Linked DNA regions of Anolis sagrei. The protein of the gene in region 1 interacts with the protein of each later gene in a pairwise test. Links are inferred from orthologs where the notes say so. Each region holds a gene or a part of one and is shown in the gene's direction. Other genes may lie near its edges. The genes, in order: HTT, ZMAT2, PPA2 and GAPDH.

Evidence for each region.
Region 2: the proteins of HTT (region 1) and ZMAT2 interact in binary tests that used the Homo sapiens proteins (3 or more experiments, as listed by UniProt). The link is inferred for Anolis sagrei from reciprocal best matches to the Homo sapiens genes HTT and ZMAT2.
Region 3: the proteins of HTT (region 1) and PPA2 interact in binary tests that used the Homo sapiens proteins (3 or more experiments, as listed by UniProt). The link is inferred for Anolis sagrei from reciprocal best matches to the Homo sapiens genes HTT and PPA2.
Region 4: the proteins of HTT (region 1) and GAPDH interact in binary tests that used the Homo sapiens proteins (3 or more experiments, as listed by UniProt). The link is inferred for Anolis sagrei from reciprocal best matches to the Homo sapiens genes HTT and GAPDH.

Annotation. Positions count from the first base shown.
Region 1 is NC_090025.1:105,051,969-105,059,674, forward strand, and holds the start of HTT (huntingtin), read left to right. Parts: upstream 1-4,703; 5' UTR 4,704-4,873; coding exon 4,874-5,025; intron 5,026-7,706. Other genes in the region: NOP14 (nucleolar protein 14), read right to left, coding at 1,167-1,349.
Region 2 is NC_090024.1:136,398,329-136,406,159, reverse strand, and holds the start of ZMAT2 (zinc finger matrin-type protein 2), read left to right. Parts: upstream 1-4,815; 5' UTR 4,816-4,884; coding exon 4,885-4,902; intron 4,903-7,831. Other genes in the region: histidine--tRNA ligase, cytoplasmic-like, read right to left, coding at 693-812, 1,208-1,291, 1,857-1,979. UniProt on the Homo sapiens protein: Involved in pre-mRNA splicing as a component of the spliceosome.
Region 3 is NC_090025.1:28,949,264-28,956,096, reverse strand, and holds the start of PPA2 (inorganic pyrophosphatase 2, mitochondrial), read left to right. Parts: upstream 1-3,821; 5' UTR 3,822-3,984; coding exon 3,985-4,180; intron 4,181-5,555; coding exon 5,556-5,620; intron 5,621-6,833.
Region 4 is NC_090022.1:197,266,530-197,273,922, forward strand, and holds the start of GAPDH (glyceraldehyde-3-phosphate dehydrogenase), read left to right. Parts: upstream 1-4,381; 5' UTR 4,382-4,488; intron 4,489-5,846; 5' UTR 5,847-5,869; coding exon 5,870-5,892; intron 5,893-6,354; exon of another isoform or gene 6,355-6,617; intron 6,618-7,393. UniProt on the Homo sapiens protein: Has both glyceraldehyde-3-phosphate dehydrogenase and nitrosylase activities, thereby playing a role in glycolysis and nuclear functions, respectively.

The DNA of each region.
Region 1 (7,706 bases):
GGGGTATAAATAAAGCTTTGTTATTATTTACTAGCCGTCCCCTGCCACGCGTTGCTGTGGCCCAGTCTGGTGATCTGGAAAATAAAGTAACGGTTTCTAATCTATGTTATTCCTTTCTGCTTGTGGGTAAACAGTATTCCTTGTTGTTTCTATGTCAGTGTTGATGTGGAGATTGTCTGGTTTGCCCACTCTGGAACATGCAACCTATCATTGTCCTTCTTTAGGGGCCCCTTTCAAATCTATGATACTATATCTGTGTATTTGTGTGTGAATCATATCTATCTATCTGATCTATGGCTGGATGGCTCTTTGTCAGGAGGACTTTGATTACGTTTTCTTGCCCTGATGAAGGGAATTGGATTGGATGGCCTTAAGTATTTTCTGATGGTCATGGGGGTTCTGTGTGGGAAGTTTGGTCCAATTCTGTCATTCATGGGGTACAGAATGCTCTTTGATTGTAAGTGAACTGTGAATCCCAGTGACTACAAATCCCAAATGTCAAAGTCTATTTTCCCCAAATGCCATCTGTGTTCATATTTGGGCATATTGAGTGCTTGTGCCAAGTTTGATCCAGATCCATCATTGTTTGAGTCCACTACAACTCCCAAACTTAAGGACAATGCCCACCAAACCCTTCTAGTGTTTTCTGTTGGTCATGGGAGTTCTGTGTGCCAAGTTTGGTTCAATTCCATCATTGATGGAGTTCAGAGTGCTCTTTGATTGTAGGTGAACTATAAATCCCAGCAACTACAACTCCCAAATGACAAAATCATAATTTTTTGAGTGATGGTCATTCCTTGTGTTGTGAGACATTTTGTTGCCAAATTTGGTGTTATTTCATTCATTGGTTCTTTTGTTTTTAAGGTACTCATTATGCACAGAGCATTTATATATATATATAGATTATTTTCTGTTTATCCCAGATTATCTGGCAATAGGGATTTATATAATCCAGTTTAAATCAGAAAACCCGGGATCAGATCCTAGGATGTGGGGCCTGTCTGGAAGTGCCCCTGCTTTAAATACTGATGCGGTTTGGGGGCAATGACAGAGGTGATGAGAATTGTAGTTTGCTCACATCCTGATGCATTTTCCAATGGGACCACTCATCAAATCCAAAACTAAACCAAGGACATTCTGTTATTTATCCTTACAAATCACCTCACCTTTTTGTGGGCCCGGGAGCGCATGACCCCCGGCCGCCCCACGTCGTGCCTGGTCTTCCGGCCCAGGATCTGGAACTTCTGCTTGTTCACCTTCACCTCGAAGGGGTTGCTCTGCGCCATGGCGTCGGTCTTGGCGGAGGCAGCAGCAGCAGCAAGAGTTCCCTTACGCTTAGCTTTCCCCATGGTTGCTCGCGTGGGGACTGGGCGCTCTGCGCTTCCGGAGGCTCACACGCGTGGCTTCCGCTGGAGGCCCCGCCCACCGGCCTCCTTCAGGGATGCTGGCACTTCCCCTGCCGAGGGAGGAGAAACCGGAAGCGCGCGAAGATAGGAACTGCGGCTGCGCGGACCCCTATTGACACTATCGGTGCTTCTGAGGGCCCTTCCACACAGCCCTCTATCCCAGAATATCAAGGCAGCAAATCCCACATTATCTGAGTGTGGACTCGCATAACCCAGTTCAAAGCAGATATAATGGGATTTTCAACCTTGATATTCTGGGATAGAGGGCTGTGTGGAAGGGCCCTGGGATGGGGAAGCAGTGCAAGAGGAGCCTGAGGGCCCTTTCACACAGACCTCTATCCCAGAATATCAAGGTAGAAAATCCCACAATGTTTGTTTTGAACTGGGTTATATGAGTCCACACATGGATAACGTGGGATTTTCTGCATTGATGGGATATAGGGCTGTGTGAAAGGGCCCTCAGAAGCCATGTGTTTATTTATTACAGACTAGCTGTCCCCTGCCACGCATTGCTGTGGCCCAGTCTGGTGATCTGGAAAATAAAGTAATGAGAAAGTGTTGGTTTCTAATATAAGTAATTCCTTTATTCTTGTGAATAAACAGTATTTCTTGTTTCTTTGTCAGTGTTGATGTGGAGAGTGTCTGGTTTGCCTACTCTGGAACATGCAACATATCATAGTCCTTCTTTAAGGGTCTCTTTCAAATCTATACTATATCTGTGTGTGTGTGTGTGTGTGTGTGAGAATCATATCTATCTATCTATATTTATGACTGGATGGCTCTTTGTTAGGAGAGCTCTGATTACATTTTCTTGCCCTGGTGAAGAGAGTTGGACCGGATGGCCTTAAGTATTTTCTGTTGGTCATGGGGGTTCTGTGTGGGAAGTTTGCCCAATTTCTATCGTTTGTGGGTTTCAGAATGCTCTTTAATTGTAGTGAACTAAAAGTCCCAGTAACTACAAATCCCAAATGTCAAGGACTATTTCCTCCGAACTCCATCTGTGTTCATATTTAGGCATATGGATTTTTTGTGCCAAGTTTGGTCCAGATCCATCATTGTTTGAGTCCACAGTGCTCTCTGGATGTGGGTGAACTATAATTCCCAAACTCAAGGTCAATGTCCACCAAACCTTTCCAGTTTCTTCTGTTGGTCATGGGAGCCCTGTGTGCTAAGCTTGGCCCAATTTCATAATTGGTGGAGTTCAGAATGCTCTTTGATTGTAGGTAAACTATAAATCCCAGCAACGACAATTCCCAAATGACAAAATCAATTTTTTTGAATGGAGAACATAAATTGGACTGTTAGGTGTCTTGTGTCCAAATTTGGTGTCAATTCCCCCAGTGGTTTTTGAGTTCTGATGGTACACGAACTAACATTACATTTTTATTTATATATAAATATTTCAATGCCACCTTTCAACAGGACTGACTCAAGGTGGCTCACATCATATTTAAAACATGCATACAAATAATTAAACACTAAACAAATATTAGATGTTCAATAATCCTTAAAAACGTATGTATTATTAAACATTAAAAGTTACACTCTAAAATTCCCCGCTCAGAGGGGATCTGCTGCATTTAGGGTGTTTATAGATATCTGCAGGAAAAAAAATGAAGCTCAAGGAGAAGCTGTGGCTTGGAGTGTTTTCCTTTTTTGGGGGTGGTGGGGGTGGTTGTGTGTTTTGAAATGCATTTATTATGTGCCAACTGTATTTCATCCTAACACAGACAGTACTCTTTCATAGCTTTGGTTGTTGTTGTTCATTCGTTCAGTCATCTCCAACTCTTTGTGACCTTATGGACCAGCCCACGCCAGAGCTCCCTGTCGGCTGTCACCACCCCCAGCTCCTTCAAGGTCAAGCCAGTCACTTCAAGGATGCCATCCATCCATCTTGCCCTTGGTCGGCCCCTCTTCCTTTTGCCTTCCACTTTCCCCAGCATCATTGTCTTCTCTAGGCTTTCCTGTCTCCTCATGATGTGGCCAAAGTACTTCAACTTTGTCTCTAGTATCTTTCCCTCCAATGAGCAGTCGGGCTTTATTTCCTGGAGGATGGACTGGTTGGATCTTCTCGCAGTCCAAGGCACTTTCAGCACTTTCCTCCAGCACCACAGTTCAAAAGCATCTCTCTTCCTTCACTCAGCCTTCCCTAAGGTCCAGCTCTCACATCCGTAGGTTACTACAGGGAATACCATGGCTTTGACTAGGCGGATCTTTGTTGCCAGTGTGATGTCTCTACTCTTTACTATTTTATCGAGACTGGAAATTGCTCTCCTCCCAAGAAGTAAGCGTCTTCTGATTTCCTGGCCACAGTCTGCATCTGCAGTAATCTTTGCACCTAGAAATACAAAGTCTGTCACGGCCTCCACGTTTTCTCCCTCTATTTCCCAGTTGTCAATCATTCTTGTTGCCATAATCTTGGTTTTTTTGATGTTTAGCTGCAACCCGGCTTTTGCGCTTTCTTCTTTCACCTTGATTAGAAGGCTCCTCAGCTCCTCCTCGCTTTCGGCCATTAGAGTGGTGTCATCTGCATTTCTGAGGTTGTTAATGTTTCTTCCAGCAATTTTCACCCCAGCTTTGCATTCATCCAGCCCCGCACATCGCATGATGTGTTCTGCATACAAGTTAAAAAGGTTGGGTGAGAGGATGCAGCCTTGCCGTACGCCTTTCCCAATCTGGAACCAGTCTGGTGTTCCGTGGTCAGTTCTGACTGTTGCGACTTGGTCCTTGTACAGATTCCTCAGGAGAGAGACAAGGTGGCTTGGGATGCCCATCCCACCAAGAACTTGCCACAGTTTATTATGATCCACACAGTTAAAGGCTTTAGAATAGTCAATGAAGCAGAAGTAGATGTTTTTCTGAAACTCCCTGCCTTTCTCCATTATCCAGCGGATATTGGCAATCTGGTCTCTCCTTCCTCTGCCTTTTCTAAACCCAGCTTGAACATCTGGCAACTCTCGCTCCATGTATTGCTGGAGTCTTCCTTGCAGGATCTTGAGCATTACCTTACTGGTATGAGAAATAAGGGCCACTGTACGGAAGTTGGAGCAGTCTTTCGCAATAGTGGGATTTTCTGCCTTGATATCCTGGGATATAGGGCTGTGTGGAAGGGCCCTCAGAATATCAAGGCAGCTAATCTGTAATACCTGCTTTGAACTGGGTTATCTGAGGCCCCTTCCATACAGCTGGCCAGGAGGCGGAGCGTATCCTCCTCTACTTGGCGCTGATTGGCGTTTGGCCTGCCTTTCAAGGGGAAGCCCGGAAGTGGCGAGGGGACAAGGACACGGCGAGGGGGCGTTCCGTCGCGGTGCCGCGGGGAATGACGGGAGCTTTCCAAGATGGCGTCGGTGCGCTGGAGGCGGGCTGAGGGCGCTTGCCTGCTCTGAGTTCCGAGGCCTGCTGTGCTGCCCTGAGCGGGAAGGCGCCGGAGGAGTGGGCTTCCTTCTCGGAGCCCTCCGAGTGTAGTCATGGCCACCATGGAGAAGCTGATGAAGGCCTTCGAGTCCCTCCGCTCCTTCCAGCAGCAGCAGAGCCCTGCCGCCATTCCAGCGGGCGCCTCAGCCGCTTCCTCGGCCGGAGTGGCCGCCGCCTCCGCCGCCGAGGAGCCCCCTCAGAGACCGTGAGTCCGGGCGGGGAGAGGCCAGGCTGGGCCTGTCTCTTTGCCTGTCTTCCTGTCTGTGGGGATTCCCCCGGAGACCGGGGCATTTGTCCTGAGGGGATGGAGCCTATGGAATCCCGCCTTTCTTCCAAAGATGGGACTCGAGGAAGCTTATGACAGAAAGCGACCTCGATCTAAAATCATGGGTAGCAAAAGCAGCCACACTCTCTTTCAGTCCCATGTTTGGATTAGCCTTGTGAATTGAATTCTTTCGATTCTTGTATTGTCGAAGGCTTTCAAGGCCGGAATCACTGAGGTCTCACTACCTCTGAGGATGCTTGCCATAGATGCAGGCGAAACGTCAGGAGAGAATGCCTCTAGACCATGGCCATACAGCCCGAAAAAACCTACAATAACCCACTTTCGATTCCTGCCGTGCAGGATCAGCCCACCAAAACCCCCTCAGCAAGTGCTTCCTTGTAACGGTTTTTTTTAAAAAAATTATTTATTAATTATAATTATAGTAATTATATAAATTAATTAATATATTCCCCCATTTGGGGATTCAAAGATTACTGCAACGCACTCTACATGGGGCTGCCTTTGAAGACAGTTCGGAAACTGCAGTTAGTCCAACGGGCGGCAGCCAGATTCCTAACAGGAGCTACATACAGGGAGCATACCACCCCCTTGTTGTGTCAGCTCCACTGGCTGCTTGTCCAATTCTGAGCTCAATTCAAAGTGCTGGTTTTTACCTATAAAGCTCTATACCAGTGGTTCTCAACCTGGAGTCCCCAGATGTTTTTGGCCTTCAACTCCCAGAAATCCTAACAGCTGGTAAACTGGCTGGGATTTCTGGGAGATGTAGGCCAAAAACATCTGGGGACCCCAGGTTGAGAACCACTGCTCTATACGATTCCGGCCCAGCTTACTTGTCCGAACACATCTGCCTCTACGTCCCACCTCATAACTTAAGATCATCCGGGGAGGCCCTGCTCTCGCTCCTGCCAACATCGCAAACGCGGCTGGCGGGGATGAGAGACTGGGCCTTCTCAGCTGTAGCCGCCCGCCTGTGGAACACGCTTCCAAATGAAATACAATCGACCCCATCCCTCCTGGTGTTCAGGAAGAAATTAAAATCTTGGTTTTGGGACCAGGCTGTCGGACAATAAACATAAAGCAGCACTTTGACTGGAAATGGATTGGCAAGACGATACGTATGACGATACGGTTTTATGGCTCTATCAGTGGGTTTGTGGACTGAGTATTTTTTTTTCATGACTTATGATAATTTGGTTATAATTAACTGCTATTGTTTTAACTCTGTATGTATTTATGGTTTTATACTGTGTTATTGATTGTGGCATCGAATTGCTGCCCTTGTTAGCTGCTCTGAGTCCCCCCTCGGGGGTTGAGAAGGGCGGGGTAAAAATGCTGAAAAATAAATAAAGTGGCCAACAACTAGGTATAAAACATACAAAGTACATTGGGATAATAAAAATAAACAGATTTTTTAAAAAAATGACAACTGAAACATAATAAAGCAGTTACACCATAACAGAATATGTTACAGATTAAAATACATTCAGCACTTTAGGTATAGTTAAAACTAAATACAGTGTTCCCTCACTTATTGCGGGAGTTACATTCCAGGACCTCCCGCAATAAGTGAAAAACCGCGATGTAGGGACACTATATTTATTTTAATATTTATACATTATTTTAGTAGTTATACACTATTTTACGTCTTTATAAACTTAAAATAAAGGAAAGGAAAGGAAGGAAAGGCCCTTCAAGGCTGGAGGGAGGGAGTACTGAGGAGGAAAAGTGTTTTGGAGGCCGCGGCAGCAAAACTTGCGAAACAGCGAAAATACCACAATATATATTTTAAATTAATATTTTTTGAAAACCGCAAAACAGCGCATCCGCTGAAAGCGAACCACGAAGTAGTGAGGGAACACTGTAAACATAAACCAAAGTAATTATCTGTTCTAATACCACTTGTCCATAAAGGTATTGCAGGAAAAAGATTCAGCTCAAATGCTACTATGGCGCCTATCACTCTTGTATTATTCTTCCTTGAAGGCCTGATTCCAGAGAAAAGTTTTTATCTGGCACCTGAAAGTTAGTGAAGGGGAGACCATTCTGATGTCTTTCGGGAGTTCCAGGGCCGTGCAGCAACTACCGAAAAGGCCCTGTCTTGTTCCCACCAACTGTATTTGCGAAGGTGGTGGGATTGGGAGAAGGACTTCTGTTGATCTCAGAGCTCATGCAGCTTCATAGAAGGAGATGCAGTCTTTTAAGTTGACTGGGCTTTAAAGCTTCTTTAAATTAAAGTGCTGTCATTGACTTCAGTCCTGCCCAGAAAGTACAGTGTGGCCATTGAAAGACCGAGGCCCCTTCCACACAGCTGCATGAAATCCAAATTGAACTGGACTTGGACAATCCAGTTCAAAGCAGATACTGTGGATTCTCTGCCTTGATATTCTGTGTTTTATGGCTGTGTGGAAGGGCTGTGAGTGATATAAAATAAAAATAATTTCTACAAACACATCTGTTTTTTTTAAAAACATAATTAGTGGATCTACAAAGGATACTCTATAACCTACCCAAAAAAAGAAAGAAAAAACAAAAAAACTATAACTTTTTCAATCTCTTCAGTCTTTCAGGCCTCTTCCACACAACTGTATAAAATCCCACAT
Region 2 (7,831 bases), on another chromosome or scaffold:
CATGTCCATTGCTACACACTATTGTGGCCCAAGTACCTGATCTAGGGAGGAAACCTAAGGGGCAATGTGAGTAATAGGAGCATAAAGGGTTGAACTTTCATGGCCTGGCTGGAGAAGGGATCTATCCAACAGACATTTACTTCAGCTTGCTGATATGCTGTATTATATTGTGTTTTTAATGTACTATTTATTAATTGGTATGACTTTTTGTGTCTATTATATCTATTTAGTTCAATCCCTGCTATATTGAGTTTATTTTTATGTTTTTGCTTTGACTGTCGATTTGGTTTTTGGCATTGAATGTTTGCCATTATGGGTTATATATAAAGATTATTATTATTATTCCTTTAACAATGATTTTGGTAGATAAGATGCAATATAAATCCATGATATAGGTTTAATGTAAAAAGACGTGCACTTCTCATGAAGACAACCATGCCTCATTTCCCAATCCTAATACACTTAACTGGAACCAAATAGCATTAATATCAATGGAGTCAAAACAACAGGCATTTACTTCGGTTTCACTCCTGGACACAGTTAAGTTGCTATGGTTCTGTTGAAATCAATAAAACTAAAACAGCCTTTGTGTAGAATTTCAGCCTTTAGCAGAAAAAGACTCTAGAAATGTGAAGCTCTTGTCAGACAAAAAGGCCACTAGCACTTCCAAAATAATACTGATCCATCCTCACCTTCCGCTCGAACACAGGGGTGTCTATCGTCACAGCTCCATGGCGCTTGAAGCAGCTGATAATGGTGGCAAAGATATTTTCACGGATGGCCATCTGCTTTGGACTGAAATCCCTGGTGCCCTGAAAGTCCACACCGAAGAAAAGATGGGGGTTTAGAAGAGATGTTTCTTTAAAAAAAGAAACGCTTGATGAAAACTACACAGCTGAAATAGTAACAGCAGCCAACAGCTGAAGGGCTTCCAGATGCTTCAATTGTTTAATACTAAGCATTTGATTCTGTGCCAAAAAATCTTCTAACGAGAATCAAGTACTGCTAAAAATAATAGAAAATGATTGGAAGAGAGGGGAAAATTGAAAAAGCAGTAGATTAAGCTAATGGGGTAAAGGGGCTGAGTGCTCTATAAGATCATCTGGAAGGATGATGGTACGGCTTGTTCCGTTAAAGGAAGTACCAGAGTTAAGCAGTGCTCGAAGGGGACTCTGGAAGAGGAAGCAGAACACAGATGGGCTATTACCTTGGGGGTTTTGAGAATTATGTTTCCTCTTCCTCCAGCATCTCTCAGCTGTGGCGATGGTTGATTTACCACATCTTCAGTCACCTGAGAGCAAAGCAAATCTGATAAAAAGGATGCCATGGCACTTTAAAGACCAACACATGTATTATAACATGGACATGCGAGTTCTTTCTGACTTCAGTGTCTACTGTGCTATCCTCAAACATGTGTACTAAATCTACTCGAAATTCTGGGTAAGACAGTATGCCTTTGATAAAGTGGGCTATAATTCCTTAATGATTAGGCTGTAATATATCTGTTAGGCTTTGATGCAGCACAGGATCATTTGTTGTTTTTGTTGCAACAGACAAATGTAATACTACATTGGAAATATGAATAACTCTTTTTTATGTTCGTTTTACAGATTTCAATTAATATAAGACAGCTGACATATCAGTGCAAAATGGTAAGGACAGATTAAGATCTCAAGAAGTCCTAAATTCTTAACATTCTAAAGGTGGCAATGTTCCAGCCCATTCCCAACCCCGCAGAAGCTTGAATAGCAGGTTAATTTGGCTTTTATTTGTAAATTTCCAAAATGCTGCTAGGAAGAAACTTCTAAACTCAAAGCTACAAGAGTTGTAGAAGAATTGTGGTAAACGAGATGCACCTTGTTCGGTAGATGGCTGGAAAGTGTCCTTTGAACCCAAAACTGCGTTGGCATAAGCTGTCTCCTATACAGAGCCTTTGTGAAAAAGCTTATCCAATACATGTCGAGGAGTTTCAACAGCATCTGCCAGCAATGTTTCCTATACTGGGCATATCAAATCTTCAGAGCAGCACAGGAGAGGAAGCCTTTGCATTCTGATCAGTGAAAGATGCATCTGTGATGTATCCAGCATGAAGAACAGAGAGAAAAAGCAAGACATAAAATCCAACAATGAGAAAACTATTTTGCAAAGTCACACAGACTAATGGCGGAGATCCTCCCATACAGCTGAATAAAATCTCACATTTTCTGCTTTGAACTGGAATACATGGCAATGTGGTTCAGATAACCCAGTTCAAAGCAGATATTGTGAAATAATCTGCCTTGATATTTTGGGTTATATGGCTGTGTGAAAAAAAATGGTTTGTTGTGGAAACAAGGATTGGTTGGAAGGCTTCATTGGATACCCCTTTTCTCCATGGTAACTCTTCTAGGAGTGAATTTCCCTTCCTGGCGGTAGATTTCTTTCACTTCCTGTTGTCTCACCTCCCCCCTCCCCGTTCTTAACAATGAGTCGTTAACGATGAGTCGGCACAAACTTTAAGATCTTCCGAGGAGGCCCTCCTTTCGCTCCAAGCACGGTTGGTTGGGACGAGAGGGCCTTCTCGGTGGTGGCCCCCACCTGTGGAATGCCCTTCCTGGAGAAATAAGACAGGCTCAATCTCTCCCCTCCTTTTGTAAGAGCCTGAAGACTTGGTGGTTTAAACAAACCTTTGAGAATAACTAGTTCTAGCTATAACCCAGATACTGTTGAAATTGGCCATATCTTTTTCTTCCAATTACCCAGGTCACTTTCTTCTATTAGGCCCTGGAAATGTATGACCATAGACTCTACCTAATTTCCTGGGCCCTCTAAAATTGCACTGGCCCGGCCTTTTAAACTTCCTTGAACAGGCAGGATTATTTTAAATATATGTGCTATTGTGGTTTTTAATGCTTATATTGTCTTGTTAATGTTATGTTTATGCTGTTTTATTTGTATGGATTGATTATGTTACTTGGAAACCGCTCTGAGTCCCCTTGGGGAGATAGAATCATAGAGTTGGAAGAGGCCTCATGGCCCATCCAGTCCAACCCCCTGCCAAGAAGCAGGAATATTGCATTCAAAGCACCCCTGACAAATGACCATCCAGCCTCTGTTTAAAGGCTTCCAAAGAAGGAGCCTCCACCACACTCCAGGGCAGAGAGTTCCATTGCTGAACAGCTCTCAGAGTCAGGAAGTTCTTTCTCATGTTCAGATGGAATCTCCTTTCTTGTAGTTTGAAGCCATTGTTTCGCATCCTAGTTTCCAGGGAAGCAGAAAACAAGCTTGCTCCCTCCTCCCTGTGACTTCCTCTCACATATTTGTACATGGCTATCATATCTCCTCTCAGCCTTCTCTTCTTCAGGCTAAACATGCCCAGCTCCTTAAGCTGCTCCTCATAGGGCTTGTTCTCCAGACCCTTGATCATTTTAGTCGCCCTGGACATATTCCAGCTTGTCAATATCTCTCTTGAATTGTGGTGCCCAGAATTGGACACAATATTCCAGGTGTGGTCTAACCAAGGTGGAATAGAGGGGTAGCATTACTTCCTTAGATCTAGACACTATGCTCCTATTGATGCAGGCCAAAATCCCATTGGCCCTTTTTTTTGTCGTCACAGCACATTGTTGGCTCATGTTTAACTTGTTGTCAATGAGAACTCCAAGCTCTTTTTCACACATACTGCTCTCGAGCGAGGCATTGTCCCCCATTCTGTATGTTTGCCTTTCGTTTTTCCTGCCAAAGTGGAGTATCTTGCATTTGTCACTGTTGAACTTCATTTTGTTAGTTTTGGCCCATCTCTCTAATCTGTCAAGATCGTTTTGACTCCTGCTCCTGTCCTCTGGAGTATTGGCTATACCTCCCAATTTGGTGTCGTCTGCAAACTTGATGATCCTGCCTTCTAACCCTTCATCTAAGTCATTAATAAAGATGGTGAACAGGACCAGGCCCAGGACGGAAATCTGTGGCACTCCGCTCGTCACTTCTTTCCAGGATGAAGAGGAAGCATTAGTGCGCACCCTCTGGGTTCGTCTATTTAACCAATTACAGATCCACCTCACCGTAGTTTTGACAAGCCCACATTGGACTAGTTTGTTTGCCAGAAGGTCGTGGGGGACCTTGTCGAAGGCCTTACTGAAATCCAGGTACTGAAATCCACGGCATTCACTGCATCTACCCAGCTTGTAACTCTATCGAAGAAAGAGATCAGATTAGTCTGGCATGACTTGTTTTTGATAAATCCATGTTGACTATTAGCGATGACTGCATTTGTTTCAAAGTGTTTGCAAACCACTTCCTTAACATTTTTTTCCAGAATCTTGCCTGGTATCGACGTGAGGCTGACCGGGTGGTAATTCTTTGGGTCATCCTTTTTTCCCTTCTTGAAGATTGGGACCACATTGGTGCTGGAACTTCTCCCATTCTCCAAGAAGATAATCCATAATATCTGCTTTGAACTGGAATATATGGCAGTGTGGACTCAGATAACCCACTTCAAAGCAAATACTGTGGGATTTTCTGCCTTGATATTCTGGGCTGTGTAGAAGGGCACCTGCCACTAGGCCTCCAGGACCTTTTGCTGCACAGACAGACTTGGGAGTTGGAGCCAGAAGCAAGGCTGTGCTTTCACTTGAAAGAGAAACACGTGAAGGCTAAAAGCTTGAAGGGTTTCTGTCTGCCTCACCCTCGAGGCAAAGCTATAAGCTTCCTTTCTGAGGCACAAACACGCTCTAAGACACGTCCTTTCCTTACCTCTCCTGAGCGAAAAGGCTTCCCAGGAAGCATAGAGAAAGCTGCAGCTTGGGTGAGGACGCTCTGGCTAGAAAGGACCAACCGGAAGTACGCTTTACGGCAGGCCCCAGTTTGCGCGACGTTTTCCGGCTTCCGGGACGCTTCACAGGCAAGATGGCGTCCGGCAGTGGGGTAAGTGGTGGACTTGATTTAGAAGGCAAGGAAGGCCTTTTCTGCCCGGTTTTCTGTCCCGAGGAGCTGTAATGGCCCTCAGGGAGAGCAGGGCGGCGGGCCTTCCGGTGTGGCTCCGCTTTTAGGCCCCCAACGGGTGCGGGAAAGGGCTCCTGGCTTCTGGGACGCCGCCGAGAGAAAGGCCCGGCTCCTCAGCGGCTTTGTATTGCACTTCTTGACTTGAGATAAGCGCTTTAAAGCCCGCACTTGACACTCCTAACACATTCTAGGGAAGGCATCTTCCGACTACGGCCTTCCCGCTGTTTGAGTCTCAATTCCCAGATGCCCTAGCCATCTTGATCAGTAGCGAGGAATTCTGGGAGTTGGAGGCCCAGAAAATGGGAGGATGTGTGTTCTAAATACTGCCTTGAATCGCCGATAGGCTGAGAAAGGCGGTATACAAGTATAGTAAAAGAAATATCTATATAAATAACAATGTAATGTTCAGGTTCTTGTGGGTTTTTTCGGGCTATATGGCCATGTTCTAGAGGCATTTTCTCCTGACGTTTCTCCTGCATCTATGGCAAGCATCCTCAGAGGTAGTGAGATCTGTTGGAGTTAGGAAAATGGGTTTATATATCTGTGGAATGACTTGGGTGAGGCAAAGAGCTCTTCTCTGCTGGAGCTAGGTGTGAATGTTTCAACTGACCGCCTTCATTAGCATTTGAAGGCCTGGCTGAGCCTTGGGGAATCTTTTGTTGAGAGGTGTTAAGATGTGCCTGGTTGTTTTCTCTCTGCTGTTTTGCTGTTGTAATTTTAGAGTTTTTTTAATACTGGTAGCCAGATTTTGTTCATTTTCATGGTCTCCTCCTTTCTGTTGAAATTGTCCACATGCTTGTGGATTTCAATGGCTTCTCTGTGTAGTCTGACATGGTGGTTGTGAGAGTGGTCCAGCATTTCTGTGTTCTCAAATAATATGCTGTGTCCAGGCTGGTTTATCAGGTGCTCTGGTGTGGCTGACTTCTCTGGCTAAAGTAGTCTGCAGTGCCTTTCATGTTCCTTGATTTGTGTTTGGGCGCTGTGTTTGGTGGTCCCTATGTAGACTTGTCTACAGCTGCATGGTATACGGTAGACTCCTGCAGAGGTGAGAGGATCCCTCTTGTCTCACCTCACTACCTCTGAGGATGCTTGCCATAGATGCAGGCGAAACGTCAGGAGAAAATGCCTCTAGAACATGGCCATATAGCCCAAACCCCCCCCCCCCCACAAGAACCTAGTGATTCCATCCATGAAAGCCTTTGACAATACAATGTAATGTTTGTTTGTGGGATTAACAGAACTCAGAAACCATTGGACGAATTGACACCAACTTTGGACACAATACACCTAACAACCCAATGTATGTCCTTCACTCATAAAAACACTGAAAAACACAGCAGAAGGGACTTAAAAAGCCCCAAAAAGCTAAATGACGAAAAGCTAAAGACAATACAGAAAAAAGGGAAGAAAGAGGGAGGGAAGGGGAGAAAAAAGGGAAAGAAAGAAGGAAAGGGAGAAAGAAGCATGGAAGCAAAGAGAGAAGGAAGGAAGGAAAGAGGTAGAGAAGGAAGAAAGGAAAGAAAGAGGGAGGGAAAGAAAGGGGGGGAGGAAGGAAAGTTAGAGAAGGAAATAAAAAAGGGAAAGAAGGAAGGAAAGAGGGAGCAAAGGAAGCGGGGAAGATATAGAGAAAGAGGGAGTGAAGGAAAGAGAGAAGGAAGAAAAGAGAGACAGCAGAAGAGAAAGGAAAAGGGGGAAGGAAGAAAAGAGATAGAGAAGGAAGGAAGAAGAGAAGGAAAGACGGGAAGGAAGGAGGAAAGAGAGGGAAGGAAGGAAGGAAAGAGGGAGTGAAGGAAGGAGGGAAAGAAGGAGAGAAAGAGGGAAGGTTGGCCACAGCAAAGCGTGGTGGGTACAGCTAGTAGTAAATAAAGAAATAGCCTTGATACTCTTGTTCAAATCTGTAAAATATTTTTTTTAAATACAAGTCCTATAAAGCTGTATTTGCATCAGAATCTTCTGAAGTTGTGGACTGAGGTTCCTTCCACATTGAACTGGATTATATGGCAGTGTGGACTCAGATAATTCAGTTAAAAGCAGATATTGTGGATTATCTGCCTTGATATTCCGGGTTATATGGCTGTGTTGATGGGCCCTGAGGGAGAATGAGATGTTTTTAATAACATTGTATTTGATACAGCTCAAAACAGAAACCTGTATCCTCCTGAACTATTATTATCCAGGATTCGGAAATCTGAGATACACCGAAATTTGGAATCATTAGTGCAGGGACAATAATCTGGTTCTTAAAATCAATAAAACGAAGGAGCTCATAGTAGACTACAGAAAGAACAGACCAGAAATTTAGCCCTTCGTCATAAATGGGGACCAAATGGAATGGGTGGCCAGTTTTAAGTTCCTGGGTATCCCTGTTAAGGAGGATCTGAGCTAGGACACCCATACAGCAGCGCTGGTTAAGAGTGCCCAGGAGAGACTGTACTACCTGAGATGTCTAAGGAACCAACAACTGAATGAAAAACTGTGGATGACTTTCTACCACTGCCCTAACCTACTATATCTGCGCATGACTTGATAACTGCACAGTGACAGATAGGAAGGCACGCCAAAGGGTCACCACTACTGCATAGAGAATCATTGGTTGCCCTCTTTGGAAGAACTTCATAAGTTCTGCAGCGTCAAGAAAACTCAGAACATTTATGAATGCAAAGACAAGAATAGAGGTTGTTTTTTTTAGATATTTGTTTCGCAGAGTGGGACCAGAGGTTATGGGGGAATGGCATACCTGTATTATATGCATTTTATTCTCTTTTGCTATTTTCTTTTACATTCTGTATGCCATTAATACAATAATTGTGGGGCACGAAAACGGCATCATTGATGAAAAGACTGCACCTGA
Region 3 (6,833 bases), about 76 Mb from region 1:
TTGTAGATTGGAAGATCGACAGTTCAAGCCTGGGTTGGGGTGACCTCCAGTCAGAACAGCTTCTGCTCACCTAGCAGTTCGAAAACAATAATGCGAGTAGATAAATAAATACTGTTTTTTTGGGGGGGGGGGTAATAAAAGAGTAATACGACCATGCTGGCGATTTGATCGGAAGAGTGTATTAAATAAAGACAAGAAAGCTCCTTAGCATGGAAGACAGCCCCCCCCCCCCCTGACAGGAGTCAAGCACAGGCTCCAGTTGCCAGAGATGGAAAAAGATGGGAAGCCTTTACCTTTGTTTATGTATTGTCTATATTTGTTGATTGTGTAATTGACATTGAATGTTTGCCTTATTAGTACACTGTAATCTGCACGGAGTCCCCTCAGGGAGATAGGGTGGACTATAAAGCATATTATTATTATTTGTAACATAAGTAAAAGGGGGGAATTTCTCATTTTAGTTTCTGTGTGTGTGTGTATACCTCCCTTGGTATTGTTTATTGGATTTCTGGATCAAACTATTTACTGATAAGCAACCAAAAACAAAAGAGAGCTAATTATCTGAGATAATTTGGAGTTACTAATGTGACAGACAGAAGGAAATGTATATTGAACTATAAAAGGGTGTATTTTGATCTGGTTTAAAATTATTCTGCATACTTTCATAAAGGTATATCCATGGAGTTCTAAAAAATCATTGGGGTGTCTCACTTTGAAATTCCAGAGGGAGCACCACATTTTTTGTCATAGAAGTAAACCCTTTCCCCTCACTTTCATTGCTAAGCTCACTTTTATTGGAGCCCCCGGTGGTGCAGTGGGTTAGAGCACTGTGCCGGCAGGGCTGAAGACCAACAGGCCACAGGTTTGAATCAGGGGAGAGTGCGGATGAGCTCCCTCTAATCAGCTACAGCTCCTCATGTGGGGACATGAAATAAGCTTCCCACAAGGATGATAAAACATCAAAACATCCGGGCGTCCCCTGGGCAACGTCCTTGCAGACGGCCAATTCTATCACACCAGAAGTGACTTGCAGTTTCTCAAATCGCTCCTGACATGACAAAAAAAAAAATGGTAAGCTAATTGAACTGTCTGCTAGGAAACAAACCTCATACTTGTGACGGTTGATAGGGTTGCTAGTTCAGGACCAGCTCAAGTCCTGGTGTGTTCAGGCCAAAACCCGAGACTTAAGGATCTTGGTGATGCTATTAAGCACCAAGCATTAAATACTAACAGCAGACACTCACAACTGCCCAAACACCACATGCTTGTGCACATATAAAAAGTGTGTTTTCCTGTTTGGATAGTTACTGGCTCACTAGAAAGAAGGTGGGCTGTAGTGTTTTGGCCCTGGGATCATCCTTCTTACTATGGTACAATATAAACAGATAGCAAGTGAGACTATGGTATTTAGGGTGCAGCAAATAAATTCTTCCAAGTTACAAACAGCGAAGACTGAGTCTGGAAGACATAACAGAAGCATAAATATTCTAAATAGCCCATTTTCTGCCTGATCTTTGAAGCTAAGGAGGGACAGCCCTAGTTAGTACTTGGATGGGAGACCAACAAATACCAGGTGTTGTAGGCTATGTTTCACAGAAGAGAACCAGCAAAACCTCTGAATATGTCTTATGTAAAAAAAAACCTATGAAATGGGTCCTCATAAATTGACAGGCAACTTGAAGGCACATAGGCACACACATATATCCAAGCAGATCAGAACTGATCTGGCATTTTGATGTCTTGAGTACAAGAAAAAACACCAAAGGAGAACTATCACTGGTGGATGGATTGCTTGAGGCAATTGCACCTGCATTTCATAGCTGAAAGGTTTGATTTAATTAAGTTATATGCCCTTAATGATCCTTAGAGGCTTTGCAGAAGAGAGAATTCAAACAAGGAGGGTCAGCAATTCCAGCAAGTAATACCGGTTTCTCCTGCTTCAGCAAAAATGGGGAATCTGAATTGATACATACACAAAAAATTAGTGTGTAATGTGTATACAGGAAGGTGACTAGATATTCAATATAAGCAGTCAAGAAAGGAACAGGACGACTTGTATGTTTTTGAGAAAGAGCCAAATGACCTCAAAAAATTAATGGTGCATTTTATTAGAAGAGCTTGCAAAAACACATTTTGGCATTATGACTTTGGGACGAAAAGAAAAGGGAAGGGAAGAAAGAAGGAAGGAGAAAGGAGAGAGGGATGGAGGGAGGAAAGAGGGAAGGAAGGAAGGACAAAAGGGTGGAAGGGAAGGAAGGAGGGAGAAAGCGAGAGGTAAGAAAGGAAGGGAAGGAGGAAGGAAAGAGAGAAGGAAGTCTAGAATGGTGAGAGAGGAGGACCTGAGAAAAGAGCCCAAGGGGCCATATCCAGCCCCCGGGCCTGGATTTGCTCATACTTGCTCTATGAGATATTAATTAAAAACTATAGCAAAATGTACTGTAGGATGTCCCACAAAAACAAAGTTTTTGCAGTTTAATAAACTTTTTTCATGGTTTTTATGATAGAACCAATTAGAAAATAACATTTATAACCCAGAAACAAAAACTGTGTTATATAGTGTATTTGTTGTAATGTTCAGTTTGTGCATCTCCTCCTTTGTTTCAGGGCTGATGAGATGCAACCTGCTTGCAGAGAACAGAATGCAAACTTCCACTTGCTAGTTTCCATCAAGTAAGCATTTAATCTGTTCTGTTCAGGTGCCATGAGCCAAATAACTACCTTCTGAGAAGAAATGGATGGGCCCCATAAAAGGAATTCTGTAGCTTGCAGTAACAGCCTAGTCCTGAACTGGTCTGACTGGTTCTTTTACCCTCCTGGCTATCTGGCCTATAACGCTGGTAAACATAAACTGATCAGACCGCACAACCTCTGAGGGTGCCTGCCATAGATGTGGGTGGAACGTTAGGAGAGAATGCTTCTGGAACATGGCCATACAGCCTGGAAAACACACAACAACCAGTGATTGTGGCCATGAATGCCTTCGACAACACATTGATCAAGCATGCTTTAGTGTGGTACCTGCCGGACTATGAAAACCCACTGAGTGACCATTTATATTTTGTTATGATGTATTTTGTTATTGTGTGTGTGTTTATTATGTTGTATTATTTTGGGCTTGGCCTCATGTTAGCTGCACCGAGTCCCCTTTGGGGAGATGGTGGCAGGTTATAAATAAAGTGTATTATTATTACTACTATTATTATTAGGGAATGACCAACCACTGCTGAACAACCATTTGATAGCCTTGCTTCAGGATCAGAATCCTAGAGTTGGAAGAGACCTCATGGGCCATCCAGTCCAACCCTCTGCCAAGAAGCAGGAAAATCACATTCAAAGCACCCCCGACAGATGGCCAGAGTTGGAAGAGACCACAAAGGCGACCCAACCAGGTAGCACAGCAATACACAATCAAAGCACTCCCAACAGATGGCCACCTGGGGTTGAATGAAGCCTGGGCCATTTGTTATGGGGCCAACTTGGGCCTTCCAGGTGTTTTGGACTCCAACTCCCAGCATTCCTAACAGCCTCAGGTCCTTTCCTTTTCCCCCTCAGCCGCTACACCTGGAAGGCCCAAGTTGGCTCATGCTTCATCTACACTGTATTATTAATGCAGTTCGACGCCACTTTCACTGCCACAGCATCCTGGGAGTTGTGATCTGGTGAGTTGCCATCACTCTTGGGCAGAGAAGGCGGAAGACCTTGCAAAACTACAACTCCCATGATTCCCTTGGCAGTGAGAGAGAGGCCAAGCTGCATGGAAGCACCCAATGCTAAGGAATACTGAGCCAAGGTCTTTCGCCTCGTCCTGCTGCATGTTTGGCTCCTCGCCCACTTTCCCCGTGTCAACAAAAGTCGAGGGCAAAGGCGCCGTCGTCGGCATGGACTAGAGGGCGGTCCGACTCCCCGGAGAAAGAGAAGGAGGAGGGGCCGCCCGCCAACGGCAGAAGGCTGCCCTGTTTCCTTCCTGCCCTCCTTCCGTGCAGCATGCGCGCCGGCTCCGCTCTGGCTCCGCTCCTGCGGCGGCTCCTGCTGCCCAGCCGCTCCTCTTACGTCAGGACGCCGGCGCGCTTCCCTCTTCCTCCGCAGCTGGGCGCCTGTCGCTGGCAAAGCGGCCTCATGGCGCACTACGGCACCGAGCAGCGCGGGAAGCTCCACGCGCCCGACTACCGACTGTACTTCAGTAAGTATAATATATAATAGTGCCTCAAACGCAGCATTGCTACAGGGCTTTCAAGGGGCGGAGCTTGGTCATAGAGAGCGTTCTAAAAGGCGGGACTTGTCGGTACGTGGCGTTCTGAAGGGCGTCCAAGGGGCGGGGCTTGCTCCTCTTCAGGACTCGATGGTACTGTACATTGTGTTCTAGGGGCGGGGCTTACTCATGCATGTCGTTCTAGGGGCGGGGCTGGCTGCTCAGAGCTTTTCTAGGGGCGGGGCTTGCTCCTCAGCGTTCTAAGGTGGGACTTGCTTCTGCAAAGCGTCCTAGGGGCGGGGCTTGCTGGTACATGGCGTTCAGGGGGCGGGGCTTGCTCCCCTTGCGTTTTGAGGTAGGACTTGCTGCTACAAAGCGTTTTAGGGGCGGGGCTTGCTCGCACTCTAAGGTGGGACTTGCTTCTGCAAAGCGTTCTAGGGGCGGGGCTTGCTGTTTAGTGGGTGAGACTCGCTTCTACAAAGCGTTCTAGGGGCGGGGCTTGCTGGTACTTGGCGTTCTAGGGGCGGGGCTTGCTCCCCTTGAGTTTTGAGGTGGAAATTTCTTCTGCAAAGCGTTCTAGGGGCGGGGCTTGCTCTAGCGTTCTAAAGTGGGACTTGCTCCTACAAAGCGTTTTAGGGGCGGGGCTTGCTCGCATTCTAAGGTGGGACTTGCTTCTGCAAAGCGTTCTAGGGCCGTGGCTTGCTGTTTAGTGACGTTCTAGGGGCGGGGCTTGCTGTTTAATGGCATTCTAGGGGCGTGGCTTGCTCCTCTGCCGTTCCAAGGTGGGACTTGCTTCTGCAAAGCGTTCTAGGGGCGGGGCTTGCTGGTACATGGCGTTCTAGGGGCGGGGCTTGCTCCTTGTTGGCGTTCTAAGGTTGGACTTGCAAACCTCTCTAAGGGGCGGGGCTTATTGGTACATGGCGTTCTAAAGGCGGGGCTTGAGGGGTGGGCAATAGGGACGTGTTGGGAGCTGACTTGCCCGACATATCTTCCTGGTTCAGAAAAAACAGGGCACAATAGTTAATTGGCAACTTCTTCGCTTGATTGCTTAGAACACACACACAGAGAATTAGAATCATAGAATCCTAGAGTTGGAAGAGACCTCATGGGCCATCCAGTCCAACCCCCTGCCAAGAAGCAGGAAAATCTCATTCAAATCACCCCTGACAGATGGCCATCCAGCCTCTGTTTAAAAGGCTTTGTGTGTGTTGTCAAATTGTATGTGTTGTCAAAATACTGAGTTGATTAGGCTGTTAGGAATTGTGGGAGTTGAAGTTTAAAACACCTGGAGGGCTGAAGTTTGCCCATGCCTGATATATAGAGTATTGTATGTCTTTGCTTACAACCTTTGTTTTTAATCTTGTAGAGAATTCAAAAGGAAAATATATCTCTCCATTCCATGACATTCCTCTCTGTGTTGGCTCAAATGAGGTAATTATTACCTATATAACATTCTTCATTTGTGGAAGTGGTCATGGGAAGATTAAACCTACTGAATGTTTTTAAAAAAACAGTTCTGTTTTTCACTTTTAGCTTTCAAGTCATAGTCTTTTGGGGGGAAATGGCTTTCATAACCTTGTTGAAAAGGAATAAAAGGAAGCCATATCCTTTTGGCAAATGTGAATCTTCGTGAGCATCTGAAGACCACCTTTAATAATTTCTGAACCTGCCAAGACCAGGAGACCTTGTTAAAAGCTAGATGTCCTGCTCAGATTCCACTTTCTAAAGCAGTGGTTCCCAAACTTTTTTTTGGCCAGGGACCACTTTGACCTGGGAACACTCTCCAACATTAGTACCAAAAGGGTTATGAATCAGTTTTTGGTGAACTAGATTCGGTTTGGTTATTTGGGGTGCTGATTCAGAAAATTGCATTGGATAAACCACATCAGCTGTAGTTTCTGGTACAGGACATATGCCATCCAGTAGTCACCATCTGCTGATGTGGTTTATCCAATGCAATTTTCTGGATCAGCATACCAAGTAAACTCAGGCCTAAAAATGAAGACACCAAGAAAAAAATATTTTTGGTTGAGCTGTGTTATTATCCATGGATTTTCTTTAAATGATCATGTTAAAAAAAAATAACGGGGTTGAAAAAAATACAAGTAGCAGAGCACAAAACCCAAGAAACTGTCTATAATGGCTTTAATAATAACAATAACAACAACTTTATTTGTATCCCGCCCCATCTCCTCGGAGGGGAGACAAGACAGCAACACTACATAGAAGAGCATCATAAAAGATACAACAAATTCCAGAACAATACAAATATACACCAAAAGAAAATAAAATTCAAAGAAAAAATGAAATACTTTAGCCAGTCCATCCTCCAGGAAATAAAGCCCAACTGCTCACTGGAGGAAATGATATTAGAGGCAACGATGAAGTACTTTGGCCACTTAATAAGAAGACAGGAAAGCTTGAAGAAAATAATGATGCTGGGGAAAATGGAAGGAAAAAGGAAGAGAGGCCGACCAAGGGCAAGATGGATGGATGGCATCCTTGAAGTGACTGACTTGACCTTGAAGGAGCTGGGGGTGGCCACGGCTGACAGGGAACTGTGGTGTGGACTGGTCCATGAAGTCACGAAGAGTCGGAGGTGACTGAACGAATGAACAACAAAATGCCTTTCGAAGGCCTCTTT
Region 4 (7,393 bases), on another chromosome or scaffold:
CAGTCCCTATTGGGGGGAGGGGGGATGGGCCTCATAATAGGTTGGGGAAACCCAGGGGAGGCCTGCTCAATGGGCACAATGAAAAGAAACCCATCATGGAGCCAGGAAATGCCTCAAGCAGGGGGCGGGGCGGAAAGTTTGACAAAGTTGGGCTCACTGGGTGGCAAAATGGCCTTTTTATGGCTTTCTCAAACTAAGTGCACCTTTGTGCTTTTGATTGGAAATCAGTTTCAATGCAATTAGTGGCCCTTAATGTCCCAACAACCCAACTAGAACTCATACTACGAGGGTTGAATGAAAAGTAATGCCTCCACCTGCGTTACTTGGGTTTGGATGGGAATATTTTAATAAATCAAACGCAGAAATAATCCTTAGAATGTGCTCTTTAACTACCACTATTCACTGGGTTGCTGTAGGTTTTTTTCGGGCTCTATGGCCATGTTCTAGAGGCATTCTCTCCTGACGTTTTGCCTGCATCTATGGCAAGCATCCTATGCTTGCGAAATGCCTATTATGCTTGAAATTTCTCTCTGAGTGATACGACGATCGTCCTGAATCAATCTGTCAACCTTTTGCTTGGGAAACTCAGTGGTTGCTGTCACAGGACGTCCAACTCTTTGTTTGTCACTCAAGTCAGATGTTCCCACCTCAACATCTTTAAACTTATTCACCGAACGACGTACAGTACTCACATCAATACAATCACCATAAACAGCTTGCAATCTCCTTTGGGGTGATACCTATGCTGTCAATAATTCAATGACTGCACATTGACTGACCGTCTGCACAGGGTTCCATACTTCAAGAGTCCAAAAGTGGCAGGCTAAAACCCGAAACCTCAATCAGTGGCAGAAACTGAATCAGAAACTCCCCCCCCCCCCCCCGGGCATACAGTAGACTGGGCGACTTGAAAGGCACTGAGCAGGCTGTGCTCTGGCACTACGAAATGCAAAGCCAGTCTTAAGAAATGGGGCTACAAAGTGGAGTCCACAACATGCGCGTGTGGAGAAAAGCAAACATTCTACAATGCAGCCTGAGCACTGCCACATACACATTGCAGGACCTTCTTACAGCAACACCAGAGGCACTCCGAGTGGCCAGCTTCTGGTCAAAAGAAATCTAGTATGATATCAAGTTTTTAACTTTGTTTGTATTTTGTTTAATACATTATAACTGTATCCTCAATTCGCTTCTGACACAATAAATAGATAGCAGAGTTAATAGAGCAGGTCAAGAGAACTACTTCCAACCTCACCACCCCCCAAATAATTTCCACTTGTTACCCTGGCAACCGCTGACATCACTCTTGGAGGGATGGGAGGACTTCCCCTTGGTTGAGTTTTTAACAAAAGAAGGGGTTGTGGGAAAAATGCCTGGCCCTCGGCTTCTTTTGCTGATGCTGAAGGCCTCAAAGTGTAAAAGTTTCCTTCAGAAAGTGAAGTGTATTGAAATGTAGCGCCTCTGCATTATATAGCAGTGTGGACCCATTTATTATTGTTATTATGTAGGTATTTATTATTAAGTTATTATGTGTTTATTATTAGCTATATATTTATTATTGTGATTATTACATGTGTATTCTGTTAAAGGTAAAGGTTTCCCCTTGACATTAAATCTAGTTGTGTCTGAGTCTGGGGAGTGTTGCTCATCTCCATTTCTAAGCTGAAGAGTTGGTGTTGTCCATAGATGCCTCTAAGGTCATGTGGTCAGCATGACTGCATGGAGTGTCATTCCCTTCCTGCTGAAATGGTACCTATTGATTTACTCACATTTGCATATTTTCAAACTGCTAGGTTGGCAGACGCTGGGGCTAACAGCGGGAGCTCATCCCATCACTGGATTTGAACTGCTGACCTTTCAGTCATTAAGTTCAGAAGTTCAGCAGTTTGACTGGCTGTACCACCAGGGGTTCCTATGCATTGTGTTATATGTATTATAATAGTGTTGTGTTTCATCTCTCCGTTTTCATCCTGCTGTATCCACAAGGAGAGGCAGGTAACAATATTGTTATACTATGTAACAACATTTGATAAAATGTATCTTCCTGGTTTGAAAGGGTTATTTCCTGTTTAATTGTGCGGTACTTCCTTTAAAGTAGCTGTTATCCTCCAGAAACTGCCACAAACTTGAATTGGTTGAGATTTTATGAGGTATTCGTTGAAAAAACCAGGGCCCCTTCCAGAGAGCTGAATAAATTCCCACATTTTCTGCTTTGAACTGGGATATATGGCAGTGTGGACTCAGGTAACCCAGTTCAAAGTAGATATTGTAGGATTTTCTGCCTTGATATTCTGGGATATAGGGCTGTGTGGAAGGGCCCTGAGTCCACACTCAAATATTGTGGGATTTTCTGCCTGATATTCAGGGTTATAGGGCTGTGTGGAAGGGCCCTAGAGCAAAATGTGATGCAGAGTGTCCCACAAAAACAAAAGTTTTTTGGAGTTTCATAAGCTTTTTCTGTGTTCTTATGATAGAACCAAGTGAAAAATGAAATTTTTAACCCAACAAAAAAAATGTTACATATATAGGCCCTTTCCACACTGTCTTATATTGCAGGATCTGATTCCAGGTTGTCTGCTTTAAACTGGATTAGATGAGTCTCCACTGGCAGATAATCTGGGATAACAAGATAATTTGGGATCAGATCCTGGGATATAGGGGCAGTGTGGAAATGGCTGCCAATTCTCTTGAAAGCTTTGTATCAATTTGTTTTCTTTAACAAGGTCAGATACTTTATCTGATTCTGCCAAACTGAGAAGTTTTTGACAGACTCTGCTTCCCTGGAGACTACGACGTGGAGCAGTGACTTCAAACTACAGGAAAGGAGATTCCACCTGAACATTAGGAAGAACTTCCTAACAGTGAACACTTCCACACAGTCCTATATCCCAGAATAACAAGGCTAAAAATCCCAGAATAACTGCTTTGACCTGGGTTATCTGAGTTCAAACTCAGATAATGTGGGATTTTCTGCTTTGATATTATGAGATACAGGACTGTGTGGAAGGGCCCTGAGAGCACACTCAGATAATGTGGTATTTTCTGCTTTGATATTCTGGGATACAGGGTTGTGTGGAAGAGCCCTCAGAGAGCTGTTCAGCAGTGGAACTCTCTGCCTAGGGGGGTAGTGGCAGCTCTTTCTTTGGAGGTTTTTAAACAGAGGCTGGGTAGCCATCTGTCAGGGGTGCTTTGAATGCGATTTCCCTGCTTCCTTGGTAAGAGGTTGAATTGGATGGCTCCTGAGGTCTCTTCCAACTCTAGGATAATGTGATTCTATGACTCTAACTGGAGCTCCCGGTGGCGTAGTGGGTTAAACCGCTGAGTTGCTGAGCTTGTTGACCAAAAGGTCGCAGGTTCGAATCTGGAGAGCGGCGTGAGCTTTGGGTGTCAGCCCCAACTTCTGCCAGTTTACCTGTTTGAAAATATGCAAATGTGAGTAGATCAATAGGTACCACTCCAGCAGGAAGGTAACAGTGGTCCATGTAGTCATGCCGGCCACATTACCTTGCCTATGGACAACGCCGGCTCTTCGGTGAGTAGATGAATAGGTACCAGCGGGAAGGTAACGGCGCTCCATGTAGTCATACTGGCCACATGACCTTTAGAGGTGTCTATGGACAACCCTGGCTCTTCGGTGCATAGATCAATATGTACCACTCCAGCGGGAAAGTAACGGCGCTCCATGTAGTCATGCTGGCCACATGACCTTTGGAGGTGTCTATGGACAACGCGGCTCTTCAGTGAGTAGATCAATAGGTACCACTCTAGCGGGAAGGTAATGGCACTACATGTAGTCATGCTGGCCACATGACCTTTGGAGTTTTCTATGGACAACACTGGCTCTTTGGTGAGTAGATCAATAGGTACCACTCCAGCGGGAAGGTAACGGCGCTCCATGTAGTCATGCTGGCCACATGACCTTGGAGGTGTCTATGGACAATGCCGGCTATTCAGCTTAGAAATGGAGATGAGCACCAACCTCCAGAGCCAGACATGACTGGACTTAATGTCAGGGGAAAACCTTTACTATTGACTCCAACTTTGTAGACAAAGGGGTGAGCTAAGCCGAGGCGAAGGGCACCTTTCCTTCCTGAGTATCGATAGCCATGGCAATAAGGGGAGTCAGTCCACCCCCATTAGCAGCCTCGGAAAAGGGGCTCCCATGGAGGCCCCCGAAGTGGGAAGTCTGCCTTTCTATAAAGAAACAAAGGGGCGATGTGGGGCGAAAGGGGTGAGCCTGGGAGGGAAGGAGGGAGAAGGGAGGGAGGAGGGCCTTTGGGCCAGGAAAGGGGTGTGGGGTAGGGAAGGCAAGAAGGGGCGGGGAGGAGGCTGGAGCTGTGATTTGGGGCTGCGCCTTCGGGCCCTGATTCGGCAGAGCCGGGCCCCTCCTTTTCCTCAGCCAACTCTATAAAGGCCCCGACCGAGGGCCCCTTTCCTGCTTCACCTCCTCACTGCACCGCAGAGCTGAGTTCGGCCAGGATCCCAAGGGTAAGGCCAAGGGGAGAAGCAGGGAAACCAGAGGGAGGGAGGCCTGGACCCTCCTAGGGATCCCCCCAAAGCCAGGGCTCGCACAGTGATAGGGGTCGGGGTACGGCCTGAGAAGAAAGAGGGGCCCCAAAAGGAGGGCAGGCAGTGCCTAGATTGAGTCAAGAGCGCGAGGACAAAGTTGCAACAAGTTTCAGGCGCCCAGTTGGGGCTGATCGCCTTCCAGGAAGTGAGGCTTCCTTCCTTCCTTCTAGAAGGGGTGGGGTGGGTTCATTTCCCCTCTAGGAGCCTCCGAATAGGGGCGTGGCGGTGGCTGCAAAGTTTCCCCATCTAGAGAGCCCCTCTCTAACTTTAGGGAAAGTTTTATCTTTTGAGCCTCTTCCATACAGCAGAATATAGGGATATAAGGCTGTGGAAGGGCCCAAACTCTTCAAGGGCTCCCTCTCCCCAAAGGCTCTTCCACACAGCCCAATAATTCAGAATATCAAGGCAGGAAATCCCACGTTTTTTTGCTTTGAACTGGAGTATATGGCAGCGTGGACGCAGATAACCAGTTCGATGGAGATCTTATGGGATTTCCTGCCTTGATATTCTGGGATATAGGGCTGTGGGGAAGAGCCTTTGGATAGTCTGGTCCCTTCCACACAGCGCTATATCCATTAATATCAAGGCAGAAAATTCCACAAGATCTGCTTGGACCTGGGTTATCTGAGTCCACACTCAGATAATGTGAGATTTCCTGTGATATTCTGGGTTATAGGGTTATGTAGAAGAGCCTTTGGAAAGAGGAAGCCCTTGGAGAGTTTGGGCCCTTCCACACAGCCCTATATCCATTAATATCAAGGCAGAAAATCCCACAAGATCTGCTTGGAATTGGGTTATCTGAGTCCGCACTCAGATGAGATTTCCTGTGATATTCTGGGTTATAGGGCTGTGTGGAAGAGCCTTTGGGGAGAAAGAGCTCTTGTAGAGTTTGGGCTCTTTCAGACCACCCTATATCCCTGAATATCAAGGCAGAAAATACCACAAGATCTGCTTGAAACTCAGATAATATGGGATTTCCTGTGATATTCTGGGTTCTAGGGCTGTGTGGAAGAGCCTTTGGAGAGAGGGAGCCCTTGGAGGGTTTGGGCCTTTCCACACAGCCCTAATAACCCAGAATATCATGGTAGAAAATCCCATAATATTCGCTTGGAATTGGATTATCTGAGTCCACATTCAGATAATGTGGGATTTTCTGCCTTGATATTCTGGGATATAGGGCTCTGTGGAAGGGCCCTTTGTCTCAAGACTTTAGGGAAACCTCTGTCGGGAATCATCCTTGGTTTGAACCCTTTTCTTCTTTTTTCCCCCTCCTCCAGAATCACCTTTTCCAGAAAGCAAGATGGTGAAAATCGGAGTCAACGGGTGAGTGGGGAAAGGGGAAAGGCAGGCCGACGTGCGGGAGGGCAGCCTGGGCATGGCAGGCAGAAAGGGGCAGGACTTGGGATGGACAGGGGGGAAGCCCCTCCCTCTCTTAGGCCTCTTCGTCTGTCTCTGAGGGGTAGCCCTTGGAGACCTTCCCAGCCAATAGGGAAGCCTCCCTCCCTCCTGTTCTTGGCCGGCAGACAGTGCTGCCTTCTGTCCCTCACAAGGACATCTCAAGGTCACCTCTTGTGTCTCTCCCCCTCTCAAAGGGACCCTGCAGCTGTTTTCTTCCAAGAGAAGTCCCCTTCTTCTCCTTTTGCCCTGTGCAACAGCTGCCCACTTAAACAAACGGTCCACCTTTTAATCCCCATCTTCCTGGCTCCCTCCATTTCCTTTTGCCTACTTCTGGGGCAGGGAAAACACGTGGAGAAGAGCAAAAGGGCTGGTGACTCATTTACTTACTGACTTTCCGGAGCTGGGCTGCTGAGTCACAGCCGGCAGGAAGCAGCCCTAGCCGCAGGGACTTGAGAACTTTTTCTCCTTCCTTCCTTCCCCCATCCCAGAAAGCCTATGGAAAGGTCCACCCAAGAATGTGTGACCTTCTGCTTGCGATGTGCGGGAGACTCAAAGCTGTAACCAGATCAGGCTGCCACATCTCTGGTGCCTGGGAGAGAAGCTAAAGTTAGTGCCTGACCTTTCTGTGGCAGGAGCTGCGGGTGCCAAAGGGAAAGGTTCCCTGAGAGGGTGCTGCGGGAAAGGGAGGGCATGTATCTCAATGCTGCTCCCAGTAACATCGCCTGCAAACACATACACACACACACCGCAAACCACTGGCAGGAGGCATGCTTTGCATGTATGTAGCTCAAGCTTGGCGTCTCCAGGATCTCCGGTTGCAAGGCTGTGAGGCACCTTCAAAGCAACCCTGCGGGGAAGCTTTACAAGCAGATGCACTTGCTGCCAAGAGAAATGTTAACGCTGATCTAGTAGGGGAAATCCAAGCCTTCCCACATGTTGCCTTGCCCCTTAGATCTGGCAGTGGTGAGTTTCGCCTTTCAAAGGAAGGCCTTGAAAGGCCATCAAAAGCATAGTCAGATTTCACTTGTCATGCAAAGAAGCTCTTTGAATTCAGACACAAAACCATCCTCAGAAAAATAGTGCCTAGTCCACCCAAAAACTTTCAATTTCTTGCAATTGTAGGGCTCTGAAAGTGTTGCCATCCTGCAAATGTGAGGGTTTTTAACCTCTTCTCTACCTGCAGTCAGTGATGGCTGGTTTTATGTGAAAGACAGCCTTAGGGCACTTCCACACATCCCTATATCCCAGAATATCAAGGCAGAAAATTCCACAATATCTGCTTTGAACTGGATTATTTAAGGGCCCTTCCACACAGCACTGTACCCCAGAATTATCAAGGTAGAAAATTCCACAATATCTGCTTTGAACTGGATTATCTAAGGGCCCTTCCACACAGCATTGTAACTTGGGGCCCTTCCACACAGCA